Linked DNA regions of Xenopus tropicalis. The protein of the gene in region 7 purifies or fractionates together with the protein of the main gene of each other region. This does not show direct contact. Links are inferred from orthologs where the notes say so. Each region holds a gene or a part of one and is shown on either strand. Other genes may lie near its edges.

Region 1 (3,500 bases), on a different chromosome or scaffold from region 7:
TACATGCACCTAAGCTATTAGGTCCCACCAATAATATATATGTAATCATGTCTATGAAACAATGTAGCAGACCCCCGGTGTCTGTTTTACTGCTCTGATGTCTGAAGAAATCTTTAAAGGAGCAGGAAAGGTAAAAACTAAGTAAGCTTTATCAGAAAGGTCTATGTAAATACAGCCATAAGCACTCACAGAAACGCTGCACTGAGTCCTCTATCAAAAGACATATAGACTTTCTTGTTTTATTTTTTGTGAACATGTTCTTCGGTTTCAGACTTCCTCTCTTTTAGGGCTCCTTCAGGTTTGGGGCTTGAGTCTGCTCAGTTCTCTCCTCTCCCCCTCCCATAAGAATGCATTAGAACTTACTTCATCCTCCCTTAGGAATGTGTGATCTGAGCTTCCAAGGCTACAACTGCAGCAGGAAGCTACCAAGACCAAGCTAAAATGGCAGCTGCTATTGAAGGAAGCTTCTAGGGCTCTTTACTCAGCTATAGTAAAGCTTTCTGCTGAATAAATATAGTGTTCTAGGTGGCACTAATGTTGCAAATCTATTGGCAGTAAAATCCTTCTCCTTTAAAGTAATTCCAATATGTTATGGCTTTTTAAAAGAGCATGTTAGTATCACTTCAAGAACTTACCTACTGCTCTCATATTATGTATGAATCTCTCTCTTATATATTATACTGGGATCACCAATGAAGCAAAGACACAAGACCTGGGGCCAGAGTAAGATATACAAACTGGTAACCCCCGCACTCACCTCTGGAACATCCGCTCCTCCTTCTATATGGTCGGGTTCTAGGTCTTCACTGATATGTCTCCGAGATCGGAACACTCGGTGGGCCTCTTGCTGTATGTGCCGAATGTTGCTGTCCGATTCGGACGTAACGTCTCTGCGCAGGATGAAGGGGTCACAGGAAAGGGGAAAGTGTTAAACATTAACTGCCGCTCAGGTCTGTACAAGGTAAGCTTATAGCAGTTTTTATAATTTGTCCTCAAATCCCATATATGACCACAAACACATACGATTACAGCGATTAAAGAGTTAATCTTGGAACCTGCTTGGTTGTATAGTGTTGCTGCTTCCCCAGGTTTGCTGTGAGTGTTAATATCAAAAGCAAATAAGATTAACACAAGTACCTTCTATTTTAATCCCCAAGAGCTCTGCACAGTGTTTACCCTTCTATCGAAATGGTATGTATGGCATCACTTGTAAAGAGCTTAGCCGAAAGCTGAACATACAGAGCCCTGGCACGGTGCCGTCAAACACCGGGGGGGCTAAGTCATCTACCAGGTACCGGGCTTCATAGCTCACCTCTGGGGGCAAGAGATGCATTTGTATGTACGCTGGGTGCAGTTCTGCTGAATGCATAACATTTGGAGTGGGGATGCACCAAATCCACTATTTTCGGATTCAGCTGAACCCCGAATCCTTTGTAAGAGATTCGGCCGAATACCGAACTGAATCCTGGATTTGCCAATTAAATGTCAATTAAAGCCTATTTTGCATTGTGCAATAAACTGCATGGCAGCTGCTATAATATATGTACAATAGAGGCTAATGCTCTTATGGAAACAACAGTGATGGCCTTCTAGGGCAACTGCACTAAATTATGGTTTAATACTTTCCCACTGGGTTTATACGGTTGGCTAGGCAAGTCTGAGTCACGGCAATGGGTAATACAGGCACCTTTAGCTTTGCTGAATTTGTTATTAATAATAAAAAAGGGAGCTTAGCCCAAGGGCAAAGCATATGTATAACACAATGCAGATGTCACTGTAGGCTCAAAGGAATATTTTTCCATATATTTTACCAGCAGCCTTTTATCTGCCCATTAATATCTTGATGTCTTTCTCCCAATAATAAAGGAAAAGGAAAATGCTTACGTGTGAGTGATACTAACGCTGTGCGAGTACAAATACTACCCGGCCTTATGAACTATTCACCAGTCTATACATTATTAATCCCAAAGCAGATGATTTCCGACATTGCCAGGAGTTCAATATGTTACTGACTTCTGTCTATACTTGCACCATTATGAAGGTGCCCTGTTCATTAGGGTTAAAACCAGGCCGATATTTGATTGGCCCAGCTGGTAAATCACCAAAATCGGATCAATCACCAAAATTACATACTTACCATCAATAAAATTTGTAATACCCTACAAATCTCTTCCTTCCCTGACCCTTTCCGCTAAGGGATTATATAAGTATATACCCGCCTATACCCTGCCCATTTTCCCACCCTGTGACATCATTGCCCATATTGTGCCCCCGCTTAATCCCTAGACCCAAAGGCCGGTACTACAAGGAAATAAAAGGGGGTAACCCTAATTTCCATGCAGACTAGGGTGCAAGGGTGCCTTTATTTCACCCCTACCCTAAGCAGGCAGTCATTTCAGGGTTCCCATAGTGGGCTCAGCTTTTATTTGCCCCAAATGAATGTCCTGCTACTGCCCTGGCAAAGTCACATTGCTACTGCCAGGTTTACTAAAAGGGCACAGAATGGAATGTTCAGTGAAAATACACCATTTTGGCAAACTGTGGTGGATTTTTTGTACACTGAAAGCAGTACCTTTATGTTTCTAAGGGAGATAAAATTGTAGTTATTGTTCCCACGTGTACCAAACATTCCTTATGTCCATATTTGCAGTTATGTAGGCAGATTCCATTTTGTTTCCCTTATCTATTGTGTGTACAGAACATTCCTTCTCCGTATATTTGGTATTTATAGGGCCAAGTGGGAGCCGCCATATTGTTTCCCTAGGGATTATACACTAAATCAGAGGCGTAAAGCTTTGGGGGAGCTGCTTCATTGTTAGCTATACAGTTTATAGTGACCAAAGAGTATTTTTTCCTTGAAATTTACATTTATATTAGGAGCTGCCGGGACAGGGCCCTCTGTCCTCTCATACAGGTTATCCGTTGTCTGGTATGTGATCTGTATATTCATTATATACACCCATTTACTGTACTGCAGAATATGTTATTACAATCATAATAATGCTATACTTTATTATATACTATCCCTTCTCAATGATTTCTATGGTTGTCATATTTTCATTGGGGGGGGGGGGCTATGATGTAAGGGGTGGAGAAATGGACAGGATTGGTGGGGGAAAGGTGGACGAAACTGGTAGATGGGCTGGGAAATGGGTGGAATGGGTTATAAGCAGAGCAGAGGAAGGGAGGGATTTATAGGCCATTACAAATTTGCCGGGAAGTACATTGTTGGTAAGTTGGTGATTTACTGGCTAGACTGGCCAAATACTAGCCAAGTGGTAAATTTAGAACTTTTGCATTTATACAAACAGACAAAAAACACTACACTACTTTCCTCAAAGAATACAGTATGGGGGTACACCCATACTCTGAACATCCCTTCTATGTACCCTTTATCGGTATCTATACATTTGGTTGGAAGCTACCATATTGTTTCCCTAAAGCACACAATCCCCTTTCCCAGGCATTGCTTTGAGCCCTGTAGCGCAGTGCTGTTCTCC
Region 2 (4,071 bases), on a different chromosome or scaffold from region 7:
AAGCACTCCAAGTGCATAATAAACACTTCGATCACAAAAGGTTATTTTCTTAGTCAAACTCAGGGGGGAATTCTTCAGTCAAACCAGACTGCTAATCAATTCCAAAGACAGCAAAGACACAGCTTTTTGTACACACTGGAACGTACAAGAACAGCTCTCCATACAACAGAGGAAGGCAAAGAAAACAAACATTACCTGCAGACTTTGCTTGACCATCTGTGAGGTTTAATGATGTTTCCAAGGGGTTGCAAAAGCAGGTGCTGGAGTGGCAGCTGGATAAACATTCGCTGAACACTGAGTTGGAGGAATTGGAGAGGGATCCCGACGTCCCATCACTCAGCTCATAAAATCCTAAAAATAAAAACAGCATTCTTTTGTAAGGAGAAGGGCACAAAACACACTGCAGAGCTAGAGGAATGATTGGATGTGGTTCAGAGAATGTGCAAGACAAGAAAGGGGAATTGAAGTGTCTCATTATCAGTACTTAGCCATATGCAAAATAGCAAACCTTTAGTGCCTGAGTGGGGCAGTTAATTACAATAAGTAAATATATAATCAAATGAACCACTGGAAGGAGCGCATTCCCACCCACACAGATAAATATATCACGTCAGTATCTCACACTTACCTGAACTGGGTCGACTGTCTGTTTCCAGATGCTCCTCTGTCTTTTCAACATCAATTTTGAGATCGTTTATTTGCTTGTCCAACTCATGAAGCTGGCTTAGTAAACCTGCGTCTCGCTTTCTAAGGCAGTTCTGTGGAAAAGAAATGGCAGTCAGAAATGTAATTTGAAACCAAACCTTGCATCAAAATACACTTATTCTAATCTTTACATTGATCTTGTCATTGCACTACAGCATGAACTGTGCCCAGACCATCTGTGCTGCTTGCCATTTACAGACATAAAGCTTTGTCTTTTAAGCTGTACCAAAAGAATTCAGATGCCACTAATAGAAGGAACTGACTGGCAGAAATCTGTGTCCTGCCAATAAGGAGTACTAACAGACACAAAACATTTTGATATTATAAATATATATTATATATACACATACACACAAATTTGTTACGGTGAGGATGTGTAAACACAAACAAATGCATAGCCATATTAAAGCTGCACAACTGAAAGTGCAATGTAAGGGCAATGAGGTTAATCCTGTAAGAGGGTTACCCACTGGGTTCTGCTAATTACAAAATGATGAGAGTGCCAAACAAGGCATGCTGAAAGGGTTAAGCTCCTTAAACGTGTCGATTAGAGCTTCTGGTGGTTTTCCTTCCATTTGAAACAGCAGCCGATTCACAAAGCAGCTCCATTCAGGAGCAATCTGCGGGTGTGAGGCTGCCCCCTGGTGGTCACACCGTGCGCCTAATTGCTTTAGCAAATCGCTTCCTAGGATTCATTATACTAGAAAGCGAGCCAGATATCCACAGCGAGCTGGGACCTACTCCCTGCCCCATGAGCTGGGGGACCTACTCCCTGCCCCATGAGCTGGGGGACCTACTCCCTGCCCCATGAGCTGGGGGACCTACTCCCTGCCCCATGAGCTGGGGGACCTACTCCCTGCCCCATGAGCTGGGGGACCTACTCCCTGCCCCATGAGCTGGGGGACCTACTCCCTGCCCCATGAGCTGGGGGACCTACTCCCTGCCCCATGAGCTGGGGGACCTACTCCCTGCCCCATGAGCTGGGGGACCTACTCCCTGCTCCATGAGCTGGGGGACCTACTCCCTGCCCCATGAGCTGGGGGACCTACTCCCTGCCCCATGAGCTGGGGGAGTCAGATGCTTTCATATACTACTAATTAAGAGTCAGATGCGCTGCACACACAGGGGTTAGAAAACGGGTTTCTATACGAACTGAAAGAGCTCAGCAATGTATAGTGGGGATAAGATGGGGGGGATCAGCTAGTGCTAAAGAGTCGTGCAGCCCCGCATGTGGGTAGTATGTGAGACAGCTTTCCCAGTAATTATACTGCATGTAATCGAGCAGTAAATATATGTTGAGTACAGAATGCGCAGGGCAGTCTCCCATACATGTATTGAGAATATTAAGTGCAATGGGATCGTACATACGCAGGCATCACTAGTCTGTACACACCGTAACGGGAAATAGAATATAATTGAGCGGACACATATATAAATATATACATATCCCTGCCCGGAGCACAAACTAAATAGCCTGCCCCACAGACCCAGCCCTGTGCCCCGCACCCAGACACCTACCAACTGCTTCTTTAGCAGCAAGATATTGTCCTCCAGGAACTTCTCCTCCAGGCTGCGGGGGGTGTCCCCTGCCCGAGTGGCAGTATCTCCGTGAGTCGGTGCCCCGGGGGTAAGTGCGCTCTTTACCAGCAGCTCCTGCCGGTGCCTGAGATAGCCCAGCTCCGCAAGTCCGGCCAAGGTCGCCTCCAGGCGCTCCCGGGTCCTCTGCCGCTCCGATTCCGCCTCTCCCTTGTCCTTACGGCGGGGGCTCTCCTGGTGTTGCCCCAGGTGGTCAGGGGTGGCGGGGATCGGCTTCATCCTGGGACAGCGAGCAAGCCACAAGCTAGAGCATCTGCAAAGGCAGCCAGGCTGGAAAGGAACAAGGGCGCTCCAATGAGCAGGTAATCCTTATCCTCACTATTCCGCAAGAACCGATCCCAAACTCCCACTTGTCAGCGGATACAATGCACCAAGTTTGCACAACGTGCGATTTAGCGTCTCCTGCGCAGTGCTAGGCGCATCTTTGCTGAATCTCTGGCGAGCAGCTAAGCGAAACAGCCCATGACAGCACCGCAGCACTCTCACCGCCACACACTCCTCCACTCTCTCTCAATCCTTCTGCACTCAGTCCCGCAGCTCCAGCCAAGCTAAGTAGCCTTCGCTACGTCACACACGTCCCGACCCCGCCCCTCTGCTCTGAGGCTCACTTGCAGACTTGAGGCAGCGCTGTACGTACGCTCGGTTGTGCTTAATACACGGCATGCATGATCCATAGCCCACACTGTTCATTCATTTCTACCGAGTGGCAAAACACTTATTCGTTACCTTACAGCTATGGTTATATTTAAAATATGAGCCAGAACAGCTCACTTATGTAGGTATTTAATCAGTGCAAAACCAAACATTCTGTGTTCTCGAAGCAGTGTGTTACTGGCAGCCAGGTGCAACGTTTGCTTTGGTGATTGGAAACGAAGAATAATGGTGTTGTACTGTGAGAGTTGTAGTTACACAGTATTCATACATTTATGCAGGGACCCCCAAACTTTTTTTTACCCTGAGCCACATTCAAATGCAAAAAGAGTTGGAGAGCAACACAAGTATGAAAAATGTTCCTGGGGTTACACATAGGGCTCTGATTTGCCATTTGGCAGCTCCTCAAAAATAAGCTCCTGCTTTGAGGGGATCACTGCATTTGTACAACCGTCTACTCTCCAGCTTCTGTTGCACTCAAACTCCCAGAACCACTTGGAAAATGAAGCATGTATATGGAATCCTGGGGTTGTAGTTCAGTAAGAGCTGGAGGGCAAGTTGGCTCCCCCTATTAGTGACTTACTGTTTTATTTCTGTCCTTATATGAGAACATAATTCATTTATTGATTGATTCTTAAACTGCTGAGGAATTTGAACCCCCTGAGAATGTGACAGATTCATGTTACCACTGCTTTTCTCCTTATCATGGAGTGGCTGGGGGGGAAGGGGGGGGGAGCTGATTTACAGGTACCACAAAATGTAGAACCTATTGCGCTGGGTTTCAACTTTTGTGTGGATTCTACCGTTACTAAGTTCCCATTCTTTGTATTTTTTTTTTCTTTGTAAATACAGAGCCAGGCCCAGATCAGAACTGTCAGCCTACTGTTATGGCCAGAACATATCCAGGCCTACCAGCTACAGCAGCCAGCATGGCCTAATCACATCCAGCTACAGTGGCCACTCATGTATTCTACCAGTGGAGGGTACAACCCACATCACCAGGTTGTGACATTTGACCTTTGACCTTTGTGCAACTGTTGTGACTGTTTTTGTTTTTAATTCTTGTGAGGCAGTTTTTGTTTGGCTTTTGTTAAGGACTATTTGCACAAGTATTAAACT
Region 3 (4,024 bases), on a different chromosome or scaffold from region 7:
CAGGGAGAGGGTCACAACACCAGCCTAATTTTCAAAGATATCTTGCCATATATTGGTCAGAAAGGCCCCATGCAGTGGCCAATGCAAGCTTTAAATGCCTACATTTACGCCTGACCCACCATCCGCACCAGCCTGGGGTAATTCATGTGCCAAATACCCACCACTACCGAAAACCATCACCAGAGCTGCACATCCTGGCTATAACTACAGCCAAACCAGCGCCAAGATTTCTGGACTATGAACCCAATACCCTATGCTATAACTTGTTTTTATTCTCCCCACCTGTTACCCCCCAACCCTACTTTTTTGGCAGGTACCATCTGAATGAACCCCCCAGGCACCTAAATCATCTTCCCAGCCCTTTCACTAACGCTCCTTCTCATGGGGTGGGAATGTCACTTTTTTTTTTCTTTTATAAGGACCAACACTATCACCCTTTCTCCTTTGTAATTCTGTCCCATTCAGTGGGAAACAGCCACCCCCGCCGTGCCCTGATAGATCTACCCACCCCCCCTTCACAGATACTTGACCCTGACACTCAATTACTGGGCTCGGAATGCATTTCAAATTCATTAATTTTAGGTCACACACAAACATTTAATGCACACGCATGTAAATCGTATATACTGACAGATTATACACACACTAAAGGGGAAATAAACCCAAAAATACATTCACAGTCTTTAACTGTATTTTTTTGTTGTTCGCAGCTTTGTGGTTAATTATTAATGAGGCTCTGCTTTACTACACCGTGGTGTTATCATCGCTCCTTTATGGCATGAATGTAGAACAATAAACACCTATTTGTGTTCTGTAGGAGAGTAAACAGGCCGGCCCAGACGGCCCTTCCCGAGAGGCTAGCAACGGGGGAAACAATTGAGTGCAGAACGGCCGGTGTGGATTGGGTGTGAAGTGTAACGTTGGCAGTTCCTCCCCAAACCAACCCGCCCCAGGCAACTGACTTATGACCCAGGCTGATCCGTCAGGAGAGTCCCTGGCTTGGTGGGGCCTTGCAGGGATTTCAGTGGAATTCAAGGCCTTGGGAAGGGAAATGCGGCTGCTGCGAGTGCTCTGTGCCAGGCTTAGTAAGGCTCAGGCAGTGCTGAAAGGATCACTGACACCCCCAGCTTCCCATGGGAATGCCGCAGCTATGGATCTAACCAGGGGAATGGGAATCAAAGGCAAAATGAAGGATCAGGCTTACTTAATGGGAGATACTCCAGATGCTGCTGAAGGAGGGGTGCTGGGAGTTGCATCTTAAAAAGATCTGGAGGGCCTCAACTAGCCCATGCTTGATCTGATGAATGCAGGAGAATCAGGGCGGTCGGATCTAGATCCAACAGGAGGGCTGCTGTGCGGGGCAATAGGGCAAGGTCCATAGGGAAGGCTATGGTCAGCAGTAATAGGGATGAGAGGCAAGGCCGTGGCTCCCAGATCTAATGGGGGGGGGGGGGGGGGCTGGGGTGCAGGGCATTAGGGCAAGATCTAAAGGGAAGGATAGGGATCAGGAGTAATAGGGATGAGAGACAAGGGGGATCTAATAGGGGGGCTGGGGTGCAGAGCAATAGGGCTAGATCTAAAGGGAAGGCTTCAGCAGGGATCAGCAGTGATAGGGATGAGAGGCAAGGCCATGGGTCCCAGATCTAATGGGGGGGCTGTTGTGTAGGGCAATAGGGCTAGATCTAAAGGGAAGGCTATGGATCAGCAGTAATAGGGATAAGAGGCAAGGCCGTGGCTCCCAGATCTAATGGGGGGGGGGGCTGTTGTGTAGGGCAATAGGGCAAGATCTAAAGGGAAAGATGGGTGGCTCCCAGATCTAATGGGGGGGGGTACAAATGGGAGGTCTAGGGATCAGGATAATTGGATCCAGGCTGAAAGAAGGGATGAGGTGCAGGGCCATAGGGCCCCAATCTAATGGGAGGGCAAAGGCTTAGGGTAATTAGATCCAGGCTGAAAGAAGGGATGAGGTGCAGGGCCGCGAGGGCAGGATTTAATAGGATGGCCAAGTTTTAGGGTAATTGGACCATGAGGGGTATATATACAGGAAGGGCTGGAGTGCAAATGGGAGGTCTAAGGGTCAGAGTAATTGGATCCAGACTTAAAGCAAGGGATGAGGTGCAGGGCCACAGGGCCCAGAGCTACTGGGAGGGCAAAGGCTCAGGGTAATGGGATTTAGGCTGAAAAGAGGGATGAGGTGCAGGGCCATGGAACCCCACATCTAGCTGCTACCCAGAGCCAATGGGAGGCCAGGCATCAGGGTAACCGGACCCATAATAGTCAGTGGCACCCAGCTCTAACCAGAGGGCTTGGGTGCAGGGCTAGGGAATATGGGTACAGGGGCCCAAATGCCAAGCAGGCCAGTGAAACCCACAGTAACATAGGGAAAGGCATGTACCTGGGAAGCCAATGTAGGATAGAATGATAGATAGAATGATAGCAGGCAGTTGCAGGCAGCAGCAGGCAGTTTGAGGGCACAGCAAGGAGACTGTACCACTCTCACCCACCCATGGGGGGCACAATGTACCCGGCACAATCCACCCCGGGGGAGAGGTACTTACCAGGGCAGCAGGCAGGCTCCCGGCGGGCATGGGATCCCAGGCACTGGGGGAAGGGAGACGGACGGAGGCTGTTTGAGAAAAGGAGGCGGAGGGAGAAAGGGGGAGCGCCAGTCCTTTTGTAGGAGCCTCGCTGCGCCGGTATTGCGCCGGTATTGCGCTAAATCCACAGGGCGACACTCGGGGTGCGGGGAGAGGGGTCACAGGCGGCCGAACGGGGAGCGGGCGGGATCCCCCGGAGATCCACAACGCACAATCCTTAGGCTGTGAGAGAGAGAGCAGCGCTGTGCCTCCGCCCCCAAGCTCCATACACTTCTACGGCTGCAGCCCGGCAAGCCCCGCCCTCCCGGCAAGCCCCACCCACCGCTCTCCTCCCCCCTCCCTGCCCATTGTCTCACTTCCCCGGATCCCCTTTCTGTGGGGGGGGGGGGGGGCAAACCCAGCGCAGCTTGGGGCTTTAGCACTGATCTTATTTGGGATTTCTTTCCCCTCTCACCTTCTGCTGCTGCCTAATCGCTCCCTAAGGGCTGTTTAGCAAGTCATTATCAGAGGCCAACTAGCTGCCTGGTATATACTGGGGTGGGTGTCACAGAAGGGTTAATGTTAGGCTATCTGCCTATAGACTGAGCCTAACAATTCTACTGCTTAGTGATGTCATAGCCTTAACAATGCTGCTTAGTGATGTCATCCCTTAGAATGGAAGCTTAGTGATGTCACTGCTCACATGGCTCCCTGGTGTGTCTGTATCATTATATATAGTGAATAAAGTACCCCCTATTGTAACATATAGGGATATTATAAGGCACAGAAGGGTTCTATGGCCATATAAAGGTTATTTGTGGCTCTTGTATATTATATAGTGAATAAAGTACCCCCTATTGTAACATATAGGGATATTATAAGGCACAGAGGAGTTCCATGGCCATATAAAGGGTATTTGTGGCTCTTGTATATTATATAGTGAATAAAGTACCCCCTATTGTAACATATAGGGATATTATAAGGCACAGAGGGGTTCCATGGCCATATAAAGGGTATTTGTGGCTCCTGTATATTATATAGTGAATAAAGTGCCCCCTATTGTAACATATAGGGATATTATAAGTCACAGAGGGGTTCCATGGCCATATAAAGGGTATTTGTGGCTCCTGTATATTATATAGTGAATAAAGTACCCCCTATTGTAACATATAGGGATATTATAAGTCATAGAGAAGTCCCATGACCATAAAGGTCATGGAAATCATAGGTCACTTCTAATATCCTCATATTTTACAACAGGGGTACTTTATTTATTATAATATACAAGTTTAAGTGAGTCATGTGACAGAAATGACATCACCAAGCTCAGATTATAACTGATGACATTACTACTCACCATTTATAAGGATATCATTTATGGTTTGGTCCCATAGGGAAATTACTGTATATTATATATGTATATATGTACCTTTATATGGTCATGGGAC
Region 4 (4,176 bases), about 130 Mb from region 7:
GCCAAACGCACTGTTGTTCCTAAATAAATGCTTTGCTGCCCTGATCAGACACTGCTCCCAAGGCAAAGTGCTTGTATGCGCTTCTGAGGCTCAGGTACCTGAGCAGGTCACAAATCCCATTGGATCTTCACTAAAAGTGTTCAGATTCAACTTCTGAATGCCCATGTTAGCCCTGCCATCCAATTTCATGTGTAAGCAGCTGTTCCAGCTACAGTAGGCAGTGTTGGACTGGGACCCCAGGGGCCCACCAGAAAACCTTGGACCCTAGGCCCACTCTCCAAACTATATTTCCTCCTTTCCTCACCCAACCTCTTTATTCTCCTAGTCTCTTTTATTTACATCTATCCTTCCATTTATTTCTCCTCTTTCTTCCCATTCAGAAATAGCAAATGACCTTGAAGTATGCCAAATGGTCAGGAGAATAAGGGCCCACTGACCCCTCGGCCCACCGGGAGTTTTCCTGGTATCCTGGTGGGCCAGTCCGACACAGTAGGCCTCAGTCTGCTTAGGAACATAAGCTGCAACTGTATTATATTCACCATTAAAGGCATTGGCCCTACATTCTCCTGTCATGTTTGAGTTAAAATTCACCATAACTCAAACTGGGCAAGTGACCCATCTGTGAATAGAGTTGCCATCTGTCCAGCAAAACTTATGCTTGATGTTATCTGTAATGGAGAATGATAAAATAAAATATAGGAAAGCAAAGGTGGCAACCCCAATCTGCAACTGTTCTAGATGTTTCCAAAGCTTGGGCTCCTATATATTGCTGGACTATAACTCCCTGCACGCTTCACCATATAGTCTAGTTTTAAAGCACTCTGGGAGCTGCAGTCTTTCAACATCTGGCGCCATAATTAAGATACAGACACTATGGGGCACATTTACTATTCCATGAATTTGAATCCCGAACGGCAAAAATTCGGATTGGAAACGAAAGTTTCTGAACTTTTTCGTCGCCATCATTGCAAATTTTTCGTACTGACCGATCGTAAACGCCGGGAAAACCTTTCTGACTTTGATCTTTCAGTGCATATCTGCATGGGCTCGATCAGTGCACTTGCACACAAAAGAACATTCCGGTAATGTGACGAAAAGTCATGGAATATACGAAAAAGTCGTGATGGCGCAGAAAAAGTCGCAAAAATACTGATCATAACGAAAAAAAAACGCTTTTGGAGCGTTCCTGGGTTAGTAAATGTGCCCCTATGTGTAGGAAGTTACAATCCCAAAAGTGGAATAAACAGAGAATAGAGTAAGAAATTATATTTAATTATACTTATAAAAACCTTAAATTCACAAAAAGAGGTTATTGTACACTTTTCAGTTAAACTGTACTTTATACTGTTCAGAGGACTGTGAATCTGTCATTTATTATGTAATATTGCCCTGCAGTTGGTAGTCTTTAGTCCCCTCACTGTGTGGAGTTCCCCCTTTGTTTTGCCAGGTCACGGTGACATCACAAGGTTGGTGGGCGTGGCTAGCAGAGTGGAAGAGTCTGGCAAGTTCCAAAGGGCTGATACTAATAGGAATACATTGGACGTAGAGGGTGGACTAAGGAGGAGTGGGGATTTCCAGGCTGGCTGTATAAATAAAGCTGGGACTGCTCTCAGCCGTCAGTCACAGAATAACAAACTTCTGCGCAGTCGTTCTGCTCATTGTTTTGTTCCTAACTGCGACATCGCCGCCTATACGGTGCCCAAGGTGCCACCATGCCAGTCACCGTGAAAGCCTATCTGCTGGGCAAGGATGAGAGTCACAGGGAGATCCGCCGCTTCCAGCTGGAGCTGCCGGCTGCCGGCAAAGAGAAGGCGTCCGTGTCCAGCTGCGAGCTGCTAGCTAACAAGGTGACTGGCGTGTTCCAGGGCCTCAAAGGGGGAGCCTTCCAGATGTTCTACAAAGGTGGGAAGCTCAGTCATTATATACTAATAATTGCTTATATCAAATAATTGTTACATGGGTATATAATTAATAATTACCCGACCTCAAACCTGACCTTCATTCATATTTGCCAGCAGATATTGGCATATATATCCCCTGCACTTTGCTTCCAATTTCAAGGTAATATGAGGCTTGGCATGAGGATAAACCCACCTCCCTAATGGGCAAATAATCTCCTTGGAAGATACCATGTCCAGCAGGGGATGCTGAATGACTGCCAGTTTATCATGTGTAATAATAGTAAGAACCAGTCTCCAGTCTCTGTGTTGCAGAACTACACCCCTCTGTAGCTCATACGCTGGAAGAATGTAGTGAGTTGCAACAGGTTGCCTGTGTCTGGGGTAAATTCTGTACATTATACACTTGTATGTGCAAATAATTGTTCAGCGCACACACAGCCTACCCACAATAGGAACGATCTTCGGGTACAGTCGATGGTAGCAACACAAACTTGTGCTACAGCTACTAATTCTGTTTATATCTCAGTGTGGTTATGGCTTCAGGGTGAATCACAGCATAATATTATTGCCTAGGGCAGAATAAACAGCGCTGAGGCCAAATAATAAGGAAAGTTCAGTGAATGTGGGTAGGGCAATCTGTGCATAAGGCACCTAGCCCACAAGCCACATTGCCCTCACTGGATTGTTGGTAGCCCTAACCCTCGTGTATTGATCTACATGGGTGACTCATTTAATAAATATAAGATGGTTGTTAGCAGATATTAGTACTATAACTAGTACTACAAACTGATTTAGAAAAACAATATGAATATAATGTTTAAATAATGAATAACAGACAGTTTTCTAACCATTTCTTAATAGATGAGTTAGTAATTTTGTCTAGTGATCCGTGGTGTGCCCAGGATTTGGGTGTTGCAGCTCACACAAGCACTGGCATGGGTTATGTACACAACTTAAGTATTTTTCTTATAAAAAAACATGGCTGCGTGCTTTATCACTGCTAAAGGGGAAGGGCCATTGTGTGTTTGTTTTGTTGGTGCTGTCTGGTTATGCAAGGGGAGTGGCAAAGGTTGTCGGTCTAAGGTCTGTGTTATATATTTGTACTTGTCGGCTTGTATTGTATTTTTTGTGATACGTTTGGATGATTGTCAGTAGGTCAGAACTATGCTGATAACAATGTTTCTTGGCTTTTATACATGTGGAAATTTCCACTCTTGCCGGATCTGGTTAACATCTTTCCCGAGCCAGGACCTGATTAATAATAGCTAGAGACTGAAACTGGGGGAAGCAGGTTATTAGGATGAGGGCACTAAAGAGTTATTAAGCAGAATCTGAGCGATATCTAAACCTTACCTTAGCAGATACCATAATAGCTGTCCAGTGTTTAGTCAATGAAATACGTGGTAGATCCATGGCACCTATAATAGAAACAACTCACACAGCATTGAGGCAATCTCCTGTACAGGAAGTATAGTGTGCAACTGTGCAAAGGTTGTAGCTTCCCACGGTCACCAATGTATAGTCTCAGCAGATCAGACTTCATTTTTCAATCTTATCAGAATTCAGCCAGGCTGTGTATTACATTGAAGGAGGACGCCTAGCCTAAAACGAATTTCTCTTGAAATGCTGTATTTTATATACTGCACTTGTTGTAACAGCAGAGGCAACAGGAATTATGCAGGACTCCAGATCAGCTCACCATCTTAGACCTTGTTAAGCCATCTGTTTAGTGTCAGTGACACTGCACTTGCTCTGTGTGCTCTTGGCTGTTTTTGAGAAATTAAGCTTTGCCTGAAATTATCAAACAGAAAATTAAGTTTAACTTTTACAGAAGCTGATGTTTCAGGTTGCACTGGTTTCTAAACTTGTGTGTAATTAATGTGAAGTTCATTTAATTACTAATTAGACTTTCATTGTAACTTTTATATTAAATGTATAGAATGTATATTGTGAATGGGTCCTTATGCTTAGGCAAATGACAGTAGCCCCCCAGAGTATGTGCTGTGAATTAGCAGCAGAGAAGATGGGGAGCTATGGGAGGCATCTTCAGCGGTACAGATCTTCCCTGCTAGATAGTAGCAGGTAGCCTTGGGTTACTAAATAAGGTCAAAACATAATAGGGCTCATTTATCAACACTTGGCAAATTTGCACGTGGGCAGTAGTCCATAGCAACCAATCACTGATTTAGCCAGCCAAAACAGTGAACAGTGAAAGCAAAAATGTAATTGTCATGGGTTACTGTCCATTTGCCCAGTGTTAATAAATGATTCCCAG
Region 5 (4,034 bases), on a different chromosome or scaffold from region 7:
TCTTTGGCATTGTTGCTTTACTTTTCCAGTATTCCGTTTCACTTTTGAAGTGCTGCTGCTGCTTATGCAATAGCAGATGGAGGGGGTGGGCTAAATAAAATACCTTAGTGGTAAATAAAATACCAGAGCACATGCACTCATTAAAAGCCAAGCCTAAAATATTTGGTAAATTCCTTCTTAACTCTTTCTTTCCTAGCAGCTCTCAAAGGGAAAACAAAAGCAGTATTTCACATGACTGCTGCTTAGGATATCTCCTCTAAATCTGATCTAAAGGGCCGGGCCTTGAGCCTTTTAAGTAAATCATAAATATACCATGCCCCAGCTGTCAGTTATGTATTAGGCAGTTTGTGCAGCCCTGCAAAATAGGTTACTGCTTTATAATTTATGGTGATAATGACAATCTGCATATAAGCATACTGCAGAGCCTGGGATAGAAGGAAAGTTGACGTTTACCAATCTGAAGTACCCCTCACTTTATCTTGGATCAATCCTGTTACCAGACTGTTCCAATGAGAAAAGGGGGAAACACACACACAAAGCACATTAGCATGCGTGGGATTTTGTAATTTCCCCAGCAGCTTACCAAACCAATAACGGAAATGGAAAAGCAAGCAGTAAGGAATGGGGCAATTAAATCCCATTTCTACTGGACTGCATTGATATGCAATTGTTTGTATTCCCCCCCTTTGTGGTTCAGCAATATGGAAAAACTGCAGCATTACGTATATGTAAACAATAACATGCAGCAGAAATGGCAATCCAGATGTTAGAGGATTTCACACAGGAAATACTGGATTTCATAGAATAAGAAAGAGGCATGACCAACCCCCTGGGAAAGTGACCTAAAACACAGCAAATACAATGACTTCCTGTATACTGATATTGCCCCTCTGTAATACGGGATACACTGAGGCATTACATACCTAGAATAGGTTTCCTATACTTTGCACATATGAATAAGCGCAGCCAATGTCAAGTAAGGCTTTTTATAGGACGTTTATATATAAATTTATTTGGCAGGTACTGATGACAAAGCAAAACAGAGAGCTGAGCAAAAAGCACCTGGAGTTCTTAGGAACAGAACTACTAAATGGCTGCATGTTGAAGCACCATGAAGTAGAACTTGCCCTGCCTGGCCAGCGCATACAACTCCTGCAATACCTATGCTATGCAATGCTATGAAGTAAAACCCTGGGTTAAAACACAAAATAAATGCTGCATGAGCTTCTACAGGGAGATTTCCCATTTACTGGCTGTTATAAAATGATTTCCCAACAATGAATACACAGGGGTGGGTTGGCCTAATATTTGGGCCAAAAACATATTTATCTTTCCAGATCATGGATGTTGAATATTTAACCCTTCAAGTCCCGCTGGAATACAACTTTATGTGGCTTTTAGTGGAAACTCTACAGCTACTTGACTGATGAAGGTGGCATATCCCTTCTTAGGGCTGTGAGCCAATGTGATCCAACATGCAGCACAGCAGAACTTTCCAACTGGAGGCTGACATGCAGCCCCAAAATCTCCAGTGCCCCCCAGGCTGCACTACACAGAGTTCTTATACATGTAGCACAGCGGGGAGTGCTTGGAATTATAGTTCAACCCTAAGAAAAGGTAGGAAACCCCGCCGTTTCAAAATCTTATGAGCAGGCCCATTATCCTTTTGCCTTAAACATGTAAATGTCTGCTCCACATTGCACCCACCCCCTTCTGTGTACTGAGTCACTTCCACCACTCTTATAATGGAGTCCCACAAACTTTAAGCAAACAGTGCAGCATGGAACCAGGCCCTTTAACTGCCAGGTAGCAGCTGTTACACATAGATATAATTGCTCTCAGCTTCACTTGCCAATATGGCATTTTAGTAAATGAACCTCTCTCACTAAATTGTAAGCTCTTGTGTTGATCAAGCTGACCTTTCAATAATATAACATGCATTCGCATTTAACTTCCACTACTTCCGCTGTACCCTCTCATCTCAACCCCCACGGTTGGCTTGCTGGCTCAGGGTGTGGGTGAGGGCCCCCAGCAATACAGTATAGCTTGCTAGCCCATCTGAGTTCTGCTCCATAAATTGGGAATTCCCAATCTGTAGCCTTACTGCAAACTGCTAACATGCTGTAGGTGGGATGTGAGAAGTTGCAGTTGAACAACAGCTGGAAGGCAGAAGCTTGGGGGTGCGTGTTGTTTATACAGAGACTAACAAGCAATTGTTAAACAGTGTAATAAGCCATTTGCCCTTATGATATGTCCTTTGTTATTGTACTCCCCCCCCCCCCCCCCTTGTGCTTGTGATAGTGAGGAGACAGGCAGTGGCCTCTGTGCTCTGCCCTATGTCAGTGTGTGTGCGACTCACCCCAGCACCACCAGCTCTCCGTATTTGACGGGCTCCTTACTGGGGGCGCAGTGCTCCTCCTGACTGGGGGAAAACATGGAGAAGACGGTCCCCGTCACCCTCTGCCAATGCACGGTCCCCGGCCAGCCGTACAATCCCTCGGGGAGCTCCACTTCCGCACCCCCTCTACTCCATGGCAGCTCATATACACACCGGATGCCGCAGCTCACCAGCCCGGGTGGCGGATAAATCCTAGGAGCAAAGAGGCTGCCCTGTGGCGCAGATTACTGTCACCGCCGCACTCTCCCCTCCCTCCCCAGTAGTTTCTTCCAGCTCCAGCTGACGGGAAAGGTTATAATCCCTCCAAAGCGCCGCGGCCTGTCTCCGGCAGCCCAAAGCAAAACAGCAGCACTCCCGAGGAACAAGCCGCTTGCGTCTGCCTCCTGCCCTGCAACCGACGCGATAGCAACAGAGAGAGGCTGCGAATGACTCGCGGGACCGACCTCCTTCCTCCTCCCCCTCTAGACAACAAATGGAACCCCGCTGCTTTCCAAGTGCCGTGGCAACAGGACTCTGGATTAGGCGTTGGGAGAGAAGTGGGCGGAGTTTGCATAATCAAACACAAAACATTCCCTGCCCTGTATCTATCTCGGTGCTTTCAGGGAAACAAGCTGCCGCAAATGATAGGTCCTCTCTTACCAAGCAGCGAACGGATTAGATAAAACAGGAACGTGCGCTAACCAGTAACAGATTCCGCCACTTAACCCCCCTCCATAAAGTGAAGAGTGGGAGCGTCCATACTGTTATGTAAACATAGAGTAAAATGGGATAGGGAGCTCTTAAAGGGGCAGTTCTATTTTTATCCGCAAAGGTGACGTTACTGATCTATTGGTACCAAGCATCCTCACAATTAGAATGCCCGCCTCAGAGAGAGAAGTAGCAAATCAAAATATCACCTGATCTATTGTCTTATTAATTATCTCTTATAATAAAGTGCAAATGATTCATTGATTACTGGTTAAGTGATGCAAAGAAGTGTTTACAGCTAAAGGTTTGATATTTTATAAAGCCTCTGCCAGTATCATATCATTTGACAAGCTACATTTCAATCATATCTGGGTGTTGTATGCTGCACACAGTCCAGCTGCTCCAGTATCCTGGTTCCAGTTTGAGTAAATCAAGTTGGGGGCTCCTACTGATTAATAAAATGATTGCGTCTTGTGCTTCATTTCATGTATAGAGAACAGCAACTTCACTGCACATAGTATAAAACTAAAAGATCAATTCAAATTCCCTATCCTGATTTATGGAAATAATTGTAATGCAGTGCACACTGCAGCAGATATTTGTTAAGAGACCCAACACACACAGACTCTTGCTAGGGGTAGAATTTTTCTTGGCAGTGGAGAAGCTGTAAGATGACTAACAAGTCAGGGGCCAAATCTTGCTAAACCCCAGGCCAAGGAATGGATTATGTGTTGGCCATGTAGACCCATCAGGAGAGGACAACATCCATGGCCCTAGGGTAGTGATCCCCAACCAGTGGCTCTGGGACAACATGTTGCTAACCGACCCCTTGGATGTTGCTCTCAGTGCCCCCAAACCAGGTAGTTATTTTTGAATTCCTGACTAGGTTGCAAGTTTTGGTTGAAAAAAAACAGGATTTACTACCATAAAGCCTCCTGTAAGTTGATAG
Region 6 (3,500 bases), about 46 Mb from region 7:
CAGATACTGGGGATATTTTGTTTTTTCTCTCTTGTAGTTTTCTTTTCTAGTTTTACTTCTAACTTTATATATTAAATGCTGACCCTCCATTTCTCTTTCTGCAGACTACCATCTCTGGGGTTTCTGCTGCTTACAACAGAGAGCAGTTATGGCTGGCCAACGAAACCTTAATCACGAAGCTGCAGGCCAGGTGCCGTGGTTATCTTATACGCCAGAAATTCAATGCAAGACTGAAATTCCTGAGGGAACAAATTCCTGCTATTAACTGTATCCAGGTAAAAGAGATAAACATACCTTTATTTAGTAATTTTCCTCATTAATTTGGGTCTGTCAGTTTCAAGGATTTTATGTTGGTTATAGAGAATCACTGCATGGTACTTTGTAACCTTATTGATGAATATGTCTGTGTGTAATAAACAAAAATGGCCGTGCCTCAGAGGAATGGCAGTACCCGGCTATGTACTACTTTGAATCTGCCTTACAATAAGATCTACATTGAGATCTCTTATTTGCCACTATAATACTATATTTTTCTATCTGTGCCTAGGCCCATTATCGAGGACAGAAGCAGAGGAAAGAATACAAAGATCGCCTGCAATACCTGAATGATCATTCCGATGAAGTTGTTAAGGTACCTATTCTGTTTTGTTTTGTCCTTTTCTGTCATGTTTAGCCTGTTTTATTATCTTAAATCTGTCCTGTTTTTAAACATTCCAGTACAAAGAACATAATAAATGTTAATGATACATGCATCTATTGATTTCTTTATGTTTCATACAGCTCAGCATATACTGGTGCCTTGAGAAGAATCTAAGATTAATTTTTAACAGTGAAGTTAATTAGATATGTTAAAAGTTAGCTTTCTGTCTTCCTGTAGGAAGACATAATTACTGTTTTTAAAGTTTAGATAGGATTTACCCCAAAGTGGAAAACTTTTATTTCATTAAGTTTTTTGCTTAATGAAATATAATTCTAAGCAATGTTCAAACTGGCAAATAACCTTTTTTTTTTTTAAAGGTTGGTTTTTAACAACAGCAAATAACTTTAAAACCATTGAAACAATGTTTTGTTTTGTTGTTTAAATTAAATGTAAGTTTAATTGCTCTTAAATTGCTGTTAGGTTAGTGGCACACAGGGAGATTTGCCATCTGTGGTTAAATCTTGGCTACTGCAGGCAACAAATCTCCCCAAAATGCTTTCCCACTGGCAATAAAGTGACTCACCAGTGGGAAAGCACACAAGGCTCTTTGTTTTCCTAAGTTTCCCAAAGTTTCCTGTGTAGGACAGGTAGCACAAGGTATCTTATTTACAAACCTAAGAGAACTGACTTCTGCTGCATTTTTTAAGAGTCAGAATTGAGACAGTACTTTTTTTTTTACAGTACGTTTTTCAACTTTCACAATTGTTATTATGTGTCAGCTACTTTCTATATTTATATTTCTTTTCATGAAATTAATCCAGCTATTGGGATGAGCTCCCCAATAACTTTGCTGTATTTGTCACTAAGAGCCCTTTAATCTGTGTTTGTATTGTTGTATAAGAATGCTACAACTCTCTACATATTCATGTGATTATTTGACTATAAACGCTAGGTTAAGGCAATTTTATCATTCATTTTTTTTTTTTTTTTTTAAATACAAAGATTTTTTTTATATTTTGTTGCCTGCATGATGGACTGTTTCACATGGGTGATAAAATTCCCTGTATGCTATTAATCGTAAAGGGATATGGTTTCACAGTGGCTTTTTTACATTAGATATATGTAACAGACCTGACACAATTTTCATCGGGATAGGTTTAAATTGATATTGATGCTTTAAACCAGCTTTCATTTCAGTGGTAAGATGTGCGAGATGTGTTTTGTCGAAATACATGCTTCATATGCCTTCTCCATCTGTACTTTCTTCTTTCAAAAGGGCTCCTGTACACCGCAGGCTTCTCTGTGATTGCAATCTGATTGGATTCAAGCTGAGTTAGTTCCCCTGATTTGACAAATTGCTTTAGATTAGAAGCAGCCTCAGCAATACCACTATAGAGTTCCAAGTGTCAGAAGGAATTTTATCTGAACCCTTCTAGTAAGGCAGAATATCCATCTTGTGTCGGTCGGTTACTGGCTGATTTTTATCCTTCTCATTCTATTCTGTTTGAACTGTGTAGCTAAAATAATTGTTAATATGTCTCCTGCTTTCAATATATAATACCATCATACTATGTGTAGGACATTGGTACAAAAATATTAAACATGGTGTTTTTTTTCCTTAGATTCAGTCTTACACCAGAATGCATCAAGCCAGGAAGCGGTACAGAGACAGACTGCAATACTTCAGGGATCATGTAAGGACCTGGTTATATGTCCTTTTGTTTATTCATACAGTTTGCTTTGTGTTCTTAACTAACCCTGCCTTCTTTATCTTCAGATAAATGATATTGTGAAAATTCAAGCTTTTATTCGTGCTAATAAAGCACGGGATGACTACAAGACCCTCAGTAAGTGCAACGTAACTTTTGGTACAAGGGCAAGAACCTATGGTTTTATCCAATGTTGATTTTAGTTTCAGATCAGAATGCATTCTTATAATGGGTGATCTCCAGTGTTTTACCATTAAGGGATTTAAATTATGTTATATAAATATAATTACAGAAACCTAGAACTTAGGGACACAGTATACACCTCTTTTCAACATGAACTCAATGAATGGGACTTGCTGGACATACTTTTTTTCTATTGTTTCTGTTATTTCAGGCATTAAATAGGCATGTGAAGCCAGTTTCACGTTCAGTCTTCCTGTCACTTCATGACCCCAAAGAACTTCAGAGGAGCTGATAAAACTAATTACCAGTCCACTGAGACAACCCTGATAATGAGCTGCTTCTTAGAGAAGGGAGGGTTAGTTTGTTCAGATATAGTTAGGGAACTTTGAACAAATAGCCCTGTTTATAATGTTGGGGTGGTAAGGTCAGGGAATATAGCCCAGCTTTCATGTGAGTGCATTATAATGGCAACAGATAGGAAAATATGATTTTTTTTTTTTTTTTTTATTAAAACAATAGAATGTAATTTCACCACAAGTCCTATTTATTGTGTTTATATTTAGCAAAGGTGTTTTTAGGTGTATGCTGTCCTTTTAAGGCTGAAAAAAGACATATCCATTAAGTTCTTCTCACAAAGTGCTTGGTTATTAATCTGGTGCAACCCAGTTAATGTGTGTGTGTTTCTTTTAACACATAGTTAATGCTGAAAACCCACCTATGGTTGTTGTACGTAAATTTGTCCATCTGTTGGATCAAAGTGACCAAGATTTCCAGGAAGAGTTAGAAGTGATGAAGCTGCGAGAAGAAGTTGTGACCCTCCTGAGATCCAATCAGCAGCTGGAAAATGATCTTAATCTTATGGACATTAAAATTGGTCTTCTTGTGAAAAATAAAATTACATTGCAGGTATACCACTTATGCATGTTCTTGAGCAATTCTGACAATGCCTGAAGCTGGCCATAGATTAA
Region 7 (3,232 bases):
GTCCCCTTGCCCCACCAGTGACTGTCCCCTTGCCCCACCAGTGACTGTCCCCTTGCCCCCCCAGTGACTGTCCCCTTGCCCCCCCAGTGTACGTGACTGTCCCCTTGCCCCCCCAGTGACTGTCCCCTTGCCCCCCCAGTGTACGTGACTGTCCCCTTGCCCCCCCAGTGTACGTGACTGTCCCCTTGCCCGCCCCAGTGTACGTGACTGCCCCCTTGCCCCCCCCAGTGTACGTGACTGCCCCCTTGCCCCCCCCAGTGTACGTGACTGCCCCTTGCCCCCCCCAGTGTACGTGACTGCCCCCTTGCCCCCCCCAGTGTACGTGACTGCCCCCTTGCCCCCCCCAGTGTACGTGACTGCCCCCCCAGTGTACGTGACTGCCCCCCCCAGTGTACGTGACTGCCCCCTTGCCCCCCCCAGTGTACGTGACTGCCCCCTTGCCCCCCCCCAGTGTACGTGACTGCCCCCCCAGTGTACGTGACTGCCCCCCCCAGTGTACGTGACTGCCCCCTTGCCCCCCCCAGTGTACGTGACTGCCCCCTTGCCCCCCCCAGTGTACGTGACTGCCCCCTTGCCCCCCCCCAGTGTACGTGACTGCCCCCTTGCCCCCCCCAGTGTACGTGACTGCCCCCTTGCCCCCCCAGTGTACGTGACTGCCCCCTTGCCCCCCAGTGACTGCCCCCTTGCCCCCCCAGTGTACGTGACTGTCCCCTTGCCCCCCCCAGGCTCAGACATGGTAGACTGGCTGTACCACCACGTGGAGGGCTTCCAGGACCGGCGGGAGGCGCGCAAGTTTGCCAGTAACCTGCTGAAGGCCGGGCTCATTCGCCACACGGTGAACAAGATCACCTTCTCGGAGCAGTGTTACTATATCTTCGGGGATCTCACCGGCTGTGAGAACTGTAAGTGCGGGGGGTAACTGGGGTAGGGACATTGGGGGGGCAGTGGGGCAGATGGTCTCTGAGTGTTTTGCTCTCCCCCCGCAGACATGGCCAACCTCTCTCTAAATGACAATGATGGATCCAGCGGTGCCTCCGACCAGGACACTTTGGCCCCTCTGCCTCTCCCTGGGGCCTCCCCGTGGCCCCTACTCCCCACCTTCTCCTACCAGTACCCAGCCCCCCACCCGTACAGCACCCAGCCCCCCGCCTACCATGAGTTATCCTCCTACAGCTACGGCATGGGCAGCGCCGGCAGCCAGCACAGCGAGGGTGAGTCCAAGGGGGCAATAAGGGGCAATATTCTGTGTGGGTCACCGGTCCATCCTATTGGCTAATCTCTCCTTTCTTTGGTCCCACAGGGAGCAGGAGCAGCGGCTCCAACCGCAGCGACGGGGGGCGGGGCACGCAGAAGGACGAGCGCTCGGGGGTAGTCGGGGTGGGCGGGGGGGAGTCTAAGTCGGGATCTGGAAGTGAGTCGGAATACTCCACCCGCAGCAGCATAAGGAGAATAGGGGGTGGGGAGGCTGGCCCCCCCAGCGAGCGCTCCACTTCATCGCGGCCTCCACTTCACCATCCACCCTCGGTCCATTCCTACGCGGCCCCCGGCGTCCCCCTCTCCTACAACCCCATGATGCTCATGATGATGCCCCCCCCACCGTTACCTCCGCCTGGGGCGTGCCCTCCGTCGTCTTCTGTTCCACCCGGAGCTCCGCCCCTTGTGCGGGATCTAGCGTCTGTTCCCCCGGAGCTAACTGCCAGCCGCCAGTCGTTCCACATGGCCATGGGCAACCCCAGCGAGTTCTTTGTGGATGTCATGTGACACTAAGGGGCCGTTAGTGCCCTTCCTACCCCCCCCCCCGGGCTCTGTACGTACAATCAGCGTTTATATGGTCACACTTACATTTCAGCCTAGGGCAGGGATGCCCCTTGCTCACTACATGGACCCGGGCTCTCCTGAAGGGGGCAATAAACCCAGAAGGATTATGGGAAGCCCACCACAAAGGGGACTATCGATACGATGCTATTCCAGCAAGGGGTACGGACTATCCCCGCCTTTGCTTTTCTTATTATGGGAGAAATTAAGCTTTTTTTTTTCTTTCCTCCTGTTTATGTTGACACTATAGTTAGTCGTGATGTCATAGCCCGGTGACATCACTCAGAGGGGCGTTGGCTAAACTCTATAACAGTAGGGTCTTACTCTAACCCTGTTTGTAGGAAGAGAACGTAAGGAAATAGTTGAAACGAACAAATTCTGAACTCTGATGTCACCCATCAGTGACCTCATTGGTGACATCATAACCTCTGTCTGTTACTAAACACTAAAACTCCGAGGGGTCCGCTGTACGCTCCTATCTACACGCACACGTATGTATCTCTACACAGACGGTACTTGCCCCGCAGGGTGCAGTGATAATGAAGTATGTTTATCCGTGTATGTTAATAATGTGCCCCCCTGGGGGCAGGAAGGGGGGGGGGGGGCAGCCTTTCTGCCCCACGAGACACTGCTTCTCTGTTACCAATAGACATTTCTTTGTATTTTTACACGTAAAGCTGTCGCTGTGAAACAGACTCCACCCCCAAACCCCCCCATTCTGGCGCCGTCGGTGCCTTGTCAGACCAACCAATGAATGCCTTAGTGTTGGGCCCAGATGGGGGAGGGATTGTGGCCCTCTGGCTCTGCCCCGGGGGCAAATTAAGTGCCTCGGTTACTTGCCTCTTATTGTATTTATTACTTTTTTTTAGTGCATAAACCTCAGTAATAAAGGAAATAAACCTTGTGTTTTATAGCAAGACCTCCCTCTGCGTGCTGATTGGTGGGACTGGTTGGATCCACTTCTGCCTTTTCCCTCCTACAGAACCAGCGCCACAAGGTACCACAGAGGCTCTTGGTTGGGAGAACTCGGACCTTAAGTACTGGGGTTGTTTCTGCTAGAGAGGCTTCCGGCCACCAATCACCGGTGCCGTATTCTTCTGCAGGGCAGGGACCCCCAACCAGTAACTCGGGGCAACATGTTGCTCCCCAATCCCTTGGGTGTTGCTCCCAGTGGCCCCAAACCGGGCAGTTATTTTTGAATTCCTGGATTGGGGGCATAAAAACCAGGTGTACTGGCAAACAGAGCCTCCTATAGGCTACCAGTCCTCATAGGGGCTACCAAATAGCCAATCAGAGACCTTATGTGGCTTTATTTGTTCTTGGGTTGCTCCCCAATTCTTTTTACATTTGAATGTGGCTCATTGGTAAAAAAGGTTGGGGATCCCCCCCCCCCCGGCTCTAGAGCATAGAGAGCTCC

Evidence for each region.
Region 1: the proteins of dvl2 (region 7) and nedd4l purify together in Homo sapiens (affinity purification with mass spectrometry; 4 studies listed by BioGRID and IntAct, with this or other methods). This does not show direct contact. The link is inferred for Xenopus tropicalis from reciprocal best matches to the Homo sapiens genes DVL2 and NEDD4L.
Region 2: the proteins of dvl2 (region 7) and dact1 purify together in Homo sapiens (affinity purification with western blotting; 3 studies listed by BioGRID and IntAct, with this or other methods). This does not show direct contact. The link is inferred for Xenopus tropicalis from reciprocal best matches to the Homo sapiens genes DVL2 and DACT1.
Region 3: the proteins of dvl2 (region 7) and vangl2 purify together in Homo sapiens (affinity purification with mass spectrometry; 4 studies listed by BioGRID and IntAct, with this or other methods). This does not show direct contact. The link is inferred for Xenopus tropicalis from reciprocal best matches to the Homo sapiens genes DVL2 and VANGL2.
Region 4: the proteins of dvl2 (region 7) and sqstm1 purify together in Homo sapiens (affinity purification with western blotting; 3 studies listed by BioGRID, with this or other methods). This does not show direct contact. The link is inferred for Xenopus tropicalis from reciprocal best matches to the Homo sapiens genes DVL2 and SQSTM1.
Region 5: the proteins of dvl2 (region 7) and peli2 purify together in Homo sapiens (affinity purification with western blotting; 3 studies listed by BioGRID, with this or other methods). This does not show direct contact. The link is inferred for Xenopus tropicalis from reciprocal best matches to the Homo sapiens genes DVL2 and PELI2.
Region 6: the proteins of dvl2 (region 7) and iqgap1 purify together in Homo sapiens (affinity purification with western blotting; 3 studies listed by BioGRID, with this or other methods). This does not show direct contact. The link is inferred for Xenopus tropicalis from reciprocal best matches to the Homo sapiens genes DVL2 and IQGAP1.

The regions. Positions count from the first base shown.
Region 1 is NC_030677.2:201,768,976-201,772,475, forward strand, and holds part of nedd4l (E3 ubiquitin-protein ligase NEDD4-like), read right to left. Parts: intron 891-3,500; coding exon 758-890; intron 1-757. UniProt on the Homo sapiens protein: E3 ubiquitin-protein ligase that mediates the polyubiquitination of lysine and cysteine residues on target proteins and is thereby implicated in the regulation of various signaling pathways including autophagy, innate immunity or DNA repair.
Region 2 is NC_030684.2:103,321,447-103,325,517, forward strand, and holds the start of dact1 (dapper 1), read right to left. Parts: upstream 2,801-4,071; 5' UTR 2,521-2,800; coding exon 2,224-2,520; intron 759-2,223; coding exon 629-758; intron 352-628; coding exon 196-351; intron 1-195.
Region 3 is NC_030684.2:137,173,455-137,177,478, forward strand, and holds the start of vangl2 (vang-like protein 2), read right to left. Parts: upstream 2,801-4,024; 5' UTR 2,559-2,800; intron 1-2,558. UniProt on the Homo sapiens protein: Involved in the control of early morphogenesis and patterning of both axial midline structures and the development of neural plate. Plays a role in the regulation of planar cell polarity, particularly in the orientation of stereociliary bundles in the cochlea.
Region 4 is NC_030679.2:22,202,840-22,207,015, reverse strand, and holds the start of sqstm1 (sequestosome-1), read left to right. Parts: upstream 1-1,376; 5' UTR 1,377-1,712; coding exon 1,713-1,902; intron 1,903-3,254; exon of another isoform or gene 3,255-3,692; intron 3,693-4,176. UniProt on the Homo sapiens protein: Molecular adapter required for selective macroautophagy (aggrephagy) by acting as a bridge between polyubiquitinated proteins and autophagosomes.
Region 5 is NC_030684.2:104,373,043-104,377,076, forward strand, and holds the start of peli2 (E3 ubiquitin-protein ligase pellino homolog 2), read right to left. Parts: upstream 2,801-4,034; 5' UTR 2,437-2,800; coding exon 2,360-2,436; intron 1-2,359. UniProt on the Homo sapiens protein: E3 ubiquitin ligase catalyzing the covalent attachment of ubiquitin moieties onto substrate proteins. Involved in the TLR and IL-1 signaling pathways via interaction with the complex containing IRAK kinases and TRAF6.
Region 6 is NC_030679.2:106,863,718-106,867,217, reverse strand, and holds part of iqgap1 (ras GTPase-activating-like protein IQGAP1), read left to right. Parts: intron 1-104; coding exon 105-275; intron 276-547; coding exon 548-631; intron 632-2,262; coding exon 2,263-2,334; intron 2,335-2,417; coding exon 2,418-2,487; intron 2,488-3,229; coding exon 3,230-3,438; intron 3,439-3,500. UniProt on the Homo sapiens protein: Plays a crucial role in regulating the dynamics and assembly of the actin cytoskeleton.
Region 7 is NC_030679.2:153,287,690-153,290,921, reverse strand, and holds the end of dvl2 (segment polarity protein dishevelled homolog DVL-2), read left to right. Parts: intron 1-725; coding exon 726-902; intron 903-986; coding exon 987-1,211; intron 1,212-1,300; coding exon 1,301-1,761; 3' UTR 1,762-2,732; downstream 2,733-3,232.